Linked DNA regions of Caenorhabditis elegans. The protein of the gene in region 1 interacts with the protein of each later gene in a biochemical or structural test. Each region holds a gene or a part of one and is shown in the gene's direction. Other genes may lie near its edges.

The links. Proteins that work in one complex are often made in the same cells at the same time.
Region 2: the proteins of tnt-4 (region 1) and unc-27 interact in far-western blotting, tested with the Caenorhabditis elegans proteins (one study listed by BioGRID).

Annotation. Positions count from the first base shown.
Region 1 is NC_003283.11:1,990,819-1,994,573, reverse strand, and holds the start of tnt-4 (Troponin T, skeletal muscle), read left to right. Parts: upstream 1-1,660; 5' UTR 1,661-1,687; coding exon 1,688-1,704; intron 1,705-1,752; coding exon 1,753-1,938; intron 1,939-2,746; coding exon 2,747-3,368; intron 3,369-3,755.
Region 2 is NC_003284.9:8,787,466-8,791,209, forward strand, and holds unc-27 (Troponin I 2), read left to right. Parts: upstream 1-1,990; coding exon 1,991-2,140; intron 2,141-2,191; coding exon 2,192-2,463; intron 2,464-2,543; coding exon 2,544-2,685; intron 2,686-2,740; coding exon 2,741-2,870; intron 2,871-2,917; coding exon 2,918-2,952; 3' UTR 2,953-3,156; downstream 3,157-3,744.

The DNA of each region.
Region 1 (3,755 bases):
TTAAGTGTTGGCAAAGATATGAGACAATTAAGCGAGCTCGTCCAATTTTATAAAAATTTTCAAAAATCATCGTGAAAAAATTTCGTTAAAAAAATTTTCAGAGGAAAAGGCCTAAACATTTTTGAAAATGAATAAGTTACTTTTAACTAAAACTTTGCATATACTTTCATTTATCAGCTTTACTTTAGTGGAGAGAAAAATAGAACTTTGGAGTATTTTTCCATTTTTAAAAAACTACGCATATTTTTTTCTTTGATGAGTAATATTCTTGCATAAACCTTATGTATAACAAAATTTTCAACTACAAAAATGTGAAAAATAAAAATTTAATTATTTCAGCTCTTGACAAAAGTTTTGTCAAACAAGTAGTTTTAGAGTTACAGGCGAAAATCTGGAAAAAGGGTGTTTATTGAAACTTGGACTTAGCTTGTTTCAACTGACTGTAACTTAGCAGCGGGCACAGATAGGAAATAGTGGTAAACTGATAAAATGTAGTAATTGATGTGCTTATTAATGTTGTAATTGATTACTTTTTTGTATCTTGCACGTTCCGGAAGTTAGCGCCCTTCAAACTTTAAAAAGTCATTTTTGCAAGCATTTTTGGCCATTTTAAGGAGTGTAGCGCCACCAAAAAGATACGCATGGGGCGTCAACTGCAGATTTTTATTCAACTGACTGTCTAATACATCAGGGCATATAAAGTTTTTCATTTCGCCGAAAAATAAAAAAAAATCGAAAAAAAAATTTTTTTTTCGTCATCACAGTTCTGAGATTTAAAATATCTGGGAGTAGTCCGATATGGCTGATATTGTTGGGCTTATCATTACTAACAGTCTTCTATATAACCACAAAAAAATATCTAAGAAAAAATCAAAGATGAGAAAAAGCGACAAAACTTATTGACTGACCTAATAGGTTAATTTATGGGTTTTCTTGAGAGTTATGAGCTAAGACTTGCATGGCATATGTTTTTCGCTGTTTTGAATCATTTACAGATATTTTTTCCACTTTTCAGAAGAAAAAATTTTTTTTTGAAATTTTTGAAATTTTTTTAAAAAGGTGGTCTAGCCACTTTCAAAACGTCATAACTTTGCTGAACCTGGACCGGGGCAGCTAAATTTCTTGGAGAGATCATCATTTTCACTCTTTTATCGAAAAATTACTATGGCATGTCAAAGTCCGGGGTTCAGTTTTTCGACTTCCCTTGTAAGCATTGAATTTAGAGGGGAATCCTTAAAATTTCTGATCCAAATCCATGAGTTAGCCATTTCAGATCCTTGACTAACCATCACTTCCTGACTTTTTTTCCTGCTCACTTACCACCAGTTCCCCTGTCTCCACCAGAGCACATCACCGATCGCGACATGATTGTACACACAGGTAGCTCTCAAGAGAGCTTACCCGCGATTTGCCAGGATACTCTCCCAAATCTCTCTCATGTTTCCATGATCTTTTTGCGCAGTTTGCGGGATGAGAAAAGAAAGCTAACATACACTGTACGCCCACCGAAACTCGAGATCCGCCTCCCCACTACCACTTGTTGGAATTCATTGGGGTGGGCAAACTTTGAAGACACTATGTAACACTTGCTCTTCTTCCCCTTGCTTCCAATTTATGTTTCATTTCCTAACTTTTGATTTTTTACATTTTTTCAGGGGTTTTTTTTACAACCAATTCACCAATCAACATGTCTGACGAGGAATAGTGAGTTGAAATTTAAAAAATGTTATATTTCAAGTTTTAAAATTCCAGCTCCGAGTACGAGGATGAGGAGGTAGAAGAGGAGGAAGTCGAGGAGGTCGAGGAGGCTGAAGCCGAAGAGGAGGAGGACACCGAGCAGCAAGAGGAAGAAAGGTTCAAGCGAGCTTCTGTCGACACCACGGCAACCGGTGGTCCAGCAACACCGGCTGCTTCTTCGCACGCTCCTGTCTCTTTCGAGTACTTCTTTTTTTCAATTCTTTCCTATCTTATAGTAAAAACTACTAGGCTTTTCTTATCCAAGACCGCCGTGATCTCTCTAATCAAATCACTAGTACTGTTGAGTGGAAAAACTTTTGAAAAGCCTGCGTCTCCGCGCTCGGCCACACTATTTTCTTCGCACTCAAGCACATACACTTACGGCATCACTGTTTGCACTTTTTTCTTTCTTTTCACAATTCCATTATCCATGCAATATTGGAGTGGGTTAGAGGGTCAGATATTTGGAAATAGTTTACTTTTAAATGAGCAACCGACGAATCGAAGTATCCGATGAGAACACATCTGTATTTTTGTATAAAGTAGGAGCAGCCGACATATTACGGGACCAAAATATCATTAAAATCATGTGAAGTCGGGCATGCACTTTTGTTGACCTTCGAGATGTCGGCTGCAAAGTTTTACTGACTGTCATTATGAAGTATGAGCTGCCGACATTATACGGGATCCGGCAATTTGTAGAAGGCAGCTGGCAAACCTCGGGTTTCTCAATTGTCGGCTGCACACTTTCAATGGCTAGTGTAGGAATAAGAGCAGCCGACATATAACGGAAATCGAGATCTCAATGAGAGAGAGATCTCAATATCCGGAACATTTTATTTTTTCAAAGCCTCATTAAAAAACAATTTGCCCTGAAAAATGTCGGTTGCTATCCTAAATTGAAAAAAATTAATTAATGCCAAATATCTAACCCTATAAAATCACTGAGACACTACTAAATCATCACATTCTGAAAAAATAAATTACCCTAACAATATGCATTTTTCAGCGGAGAAGCTCTAAATGAAGGTGAGAAGGCTATGCTCGCCGCCAAGAGACGTCACGAGAACGACGAACAGGCCAAGTTGGAAGACTACGAGAAGGCTCGTCGCTCCGAACGTGAAAAGGAAGAGGAAGAGTTGGAGAAGCTGAAGGAGAAGCAAGCTCAGCGTAAGCTCGCCAGAGAGCAAGAAGAGCGTGAAGCTGCCGAGCGCAAGCGTCTCGACGAGGAACGTAGACAGAAGGAGGAGCAGGAGCGTCGTGCTCGTGCCGAAGAGGAGAAGAAGAGGAAGGAAGAGGAGAAGCTGAAGAAGGCTCAGATGATGGGTGGAGGATTCCCAGGACAACAGGGTGGAAGAAACTTTGTCATCCAGAAGAAGGAAGAGTCCGCCGGAGTTGGAGATCGTTTCGGAAACATCGTGCAGGCCAAACAAGAGATGGGAATGACCAAAGAACAACAGGAAGAGGCTAAGTCGGTCGCCATGGCCGGTATTCGTAAGTCGATCGCCGAGGCTTCCACCATTCTTCCAAATGATATGAAGGCCAAGATCAAGGAGCTTCATCAAAGAATCTGCAAGTTGGAGGCTCAGAAGTACGATTTGGAGAAGAGACACGAGAGACAGGAGTACGATGTAAGTAGTCTTAGTCTTAGGCTTCGGCTTATGTTTAGGCTTGGCATAGTCTAGGCTTAGGAATAGGGTTAGGATTAGGCATATGCTTGGGCTTAGGCTTGGCGTAAGTGGCGAGCGGTAGCTAGGCTTATTAGGCTTAGGCTTAGGCTATGACTTAGGCCAAAACTTACTGATTGGCTTACTAGGGAACCATCAGAAGGTGCCCATCGGACTTGCATATGAAACCTATGCCATTCGATAGCCTATGTCTTAAAACGGTTACTCGTGAATTTTTAGCTGCGAATCTCCAGAACCAAGTTCACGGCGAGCTCTCAAAGATCCTAAAATAGCACTATAATGAAGCATTGAATGGCCAATATTCCTAATTTACTTTGGTAGCTCATATCT
Region 2 (3,744 bases), on another chromosome or scaffold:
CTTCTCTCACTTATACTTGTCCAAAATAACCAAATGTCATAATTTAACACTCCTAGGATTTTTGAATTTCTAAAAAATTTTAATGCGAAGCTGTGGTGAATTTTGTTTACGGAAAGTTTGAGTTTTTAGGATAATTTCGAGAATTTGTGCAAGCTCCAACACCTACTTCCAATACATACAACTGAACAGGGATTATGTGATCAAGTTCCAATATTACTTTATTTATACCCAATTTAGCTCATTATTAGTTATACCTCACTGAGGACACTACTTCTAATGAAAATTATTCCTTGATAGCAATCAAGAAATAATTTTCTAAAAGTAAAAAATTGTAAGCTGTAAAAGTTCGGTAGTGCCAATTAATTTACCCATATGACAACCGCTCATGTATAATAATATTTCGTAACACTTGTGCCCCCACTACTGCTCAACGTTTTTAACCAAAACATCATCATCGCCTCCATCAGCTATTTTTCTGTATCTTCTTCCGATGTTTCTCTTTCTCTATATACTCGTTGCAATGAACAATGTATCAAAAGAAAGATAGAGCTTGCCGCATCAGAAGAAAACAGTGTAAACTATTCGGAGATTGGCAGAAAAGCGTGATAACACAGTTGAAAACAATTCAAGATAAGAATGTGAATGTTTATGGAAAAAAGTGTTAAAAATAAACAGGACAATAGATCGGTTTAATCCATCACTACTCCATAAACTAAAATGGGTGTGAAAATAGTTACAGGGAATTGGAATTTATTTACAAGTTTCGGGTTGTTATTTACCATTGTTGGAAAATGTAGATTTTTCTCGTTGTGATCTGATTTTTGAATGTGTGATTTTTTTAATGATTTAGATTCACTTATTTTATAGTCTTGTCAAAAATAACTACTTTATGATAACAACTGATAAATTCAATTTGAAAGTAATAATATTCAACTTTTTGTGATAACTAATGATGATTTGCATACCCAATTTCATTATCCCCGCTATCTTTTTTCTTTATCACTTATCACAAATCTCAAACATCTGCCCACACCTCGCAACACTTTCAACTCATGGTCCCTAACATATTGAATTTCAAGAGAGTCTCACCGGCCACCGTGACTATTTTTATTGTATTTTTCCACACGTCACACTTGTCAGCTTGTCAATTTTTTTTTAGGTTTTTTTGTTTTCTGACCTACTCAAATCCTACGTGACAGCATGAAATTATGGAACTGAAAGAGAAATGGTTGAAAACAAAACACTGTGAAAAAATAAATAAAATTATTCTTGATTCTGATGAAAAATGTCATGTTCCAATTCACTTTTGAAACAATTTATCCAACAAATATTTACAGATCTCACTAGCGAGCCATGTCACAACTACAAAAAAGCAATCGAATTGATGAACTCAGTGACACCGTTGAAAAATCAGTATGTTATTTTAAAAATTGTTTAGGTATTTTTAGTAGTACGATTTTGATTTTTGATCACATATCTTCTTTTTGAAAATACAGAAAAACTACAGACTAGCTTCATAAATTGTTCGGAGCCCCATTCACCGAATAGCTCATAACTTGACCCACTGCCCCATCTGAAACCAATATCTTCTTGCCGCGTTCCGTTGGTTTTTTCCACTGAAGTTGCCACAGCTCTATCCCTATCTCTCGCTTGTCTTCAATCAATCTCGGCCAACGCAATTGGTAGGCAAGAATCATTACAACAAGCGGGAGACGTGTTGGAAAGAGCATCTGTCTGTATGGCATTGTCCGAGAGACCCAAAGATACAGAATTGGAGGGCGGGCGGTTTGTGGGGCGGCTGTTGCCAACTCTAGGTACCTCTCACGAGTTGCGACATCTATTGGCAGGATACTTCAGATTTCAATTCACAAGGCCTTCGGATGCATGATCAGGCTCGCCGCTAATTTGTTTTATGCTCATTCAAAAATTATTCATTTTGTGAATTTAATCTTCTGTTTTGTGATACTTGTACCCCAAACTAAAATTTCAGATGAGTGAAGAAGCCGGAGAGGACGCCCAGCGCAAAGCTGCCGAGCGCGAGGCCAAGAAGGCCGAGGTGCGCAAGCGTCTCGAAGAGGCCGGAAACAAGAAGAAGGCCAAGAAGGGATTCTTGACACCAGAGCGTAAGAAGAAGCTTCGTGTAAGTTGTGTTTTTGGAACACTTAAATGTTTAACTTATTTTTGATTTCAGAAGCTTTTGATGGTCAAGGCCGCCGAGGATCTTAAGAGACAACAATTGCTTAAGGAGCAAGAAAGACAAAAGGCTCTTGCTGACAGAACCATCTCACTTCCAAATGTTGACTCCATTGATGATAAGGGACAACTCGAGAAGATCTACAATGACCTCTGGGCTCGTCTTACCCAGCTCGAGGAGGAGAAGTACGACATCAACTACGTCGTCTCCCAGACTGAGGCTGAGATCAACTCCCTCACTATTGAGGTCAACGATCTTCGTGGAAAGTTGTGAGTTTTTATCAGTTTTTGATGAATTTCCCATATATGTAAAATCATCCAAAGTATTGATTTTACTTTTTATTTTTCAGCGTCAAGCCTTCACTCAAGAAGGTGTCGAAGTACGACAACAAGTTCAAGAAGAGCGGTGAGAGCAAGGCCGGAACCAAGGAAGACTTCCGTGCCAACCTCAAGATTGTCAAGAAGGACGTTATGGAGGCCATCGTCAATGTTGTAAGTTTTATCTGCAATGTTCGAGAATTTTGATAAACAAATATTTCAATTTCAGAAGAAGAAGGACGACAAGCCAGATTGGTCCAAGAAGAACAAGGATGCCAAGGCCGAAGACTCCGCTCCAGCTGCCGTTGCTCCAGAAGCTGAGCCAGTTGCAGAGGAAGCCGAGGCTGAGCCAGAAGCCGGTTTGTCAAAAATGATTTAGATTTTCTCGATAACTGAAAACTTGCAGAGGAAGAGGAAGGAGAGGAGGAGGAGGAGGAGTAAACTCCTAAATCCATCACTTCAATCCTGCTCAACATCATCCAAATCGACGTCATCAAACCGAACAACCCCCCTCCCCAAAAAAAAATATGCCAACATCAATATTCTGTAGTTTGTAAAATACTTTTTTACCATTTTATTCTTCCTTCGATGGGTCCCGGAAATTTAAATGTCAACAACGTGTGTGCTAATAAAATCTTGGTGGTCAGACTTGTGTGTTTGAATCCTTGAAGAAATATGAGAAGGAAGTGTGAAGTGTAGTAGGGAGTGTCTGGTTAAAAGTGATAAGTGAAGGAGAACGTGGGAGGAAAACATGAGAGGATCACTCTCCTGGGCTCTAAGAATAGTGCGAATAATTTTGGGACGCTTTGACAAACTCATTTGTCAGATAACGTTTCAAAAAGTATTTCAAATATTTTTGACACAATTTTGAAACACTCACAACATTCAACACCACAGACGCCAAAAAAACTGTTCTTGCAATTTCAAAATTTCGATCAAGTTTCCATCTGTTGAAAATTGATACATGAAAATATCTCTTTTAATTGTGCAGAACTTAATCAGCAATATTCATATTCACAGTTTAGCTGTTATGATACAATGCTGCAGTAAATTTGAAGATTATCGTGATCTATGGAGAAAATCAAGGGAAGTTGATAGCTTGGAAAAGCAAACAGGAGAGCACATTTCAATGAAAAGTCAATAGTTTTCCAAAAGTACTGTACTAGTATATTACTGAGTCTAATAAACAAAAAAAAACTGGTATCAGACAAGTTTTTCCTATCAGTTTTCAAA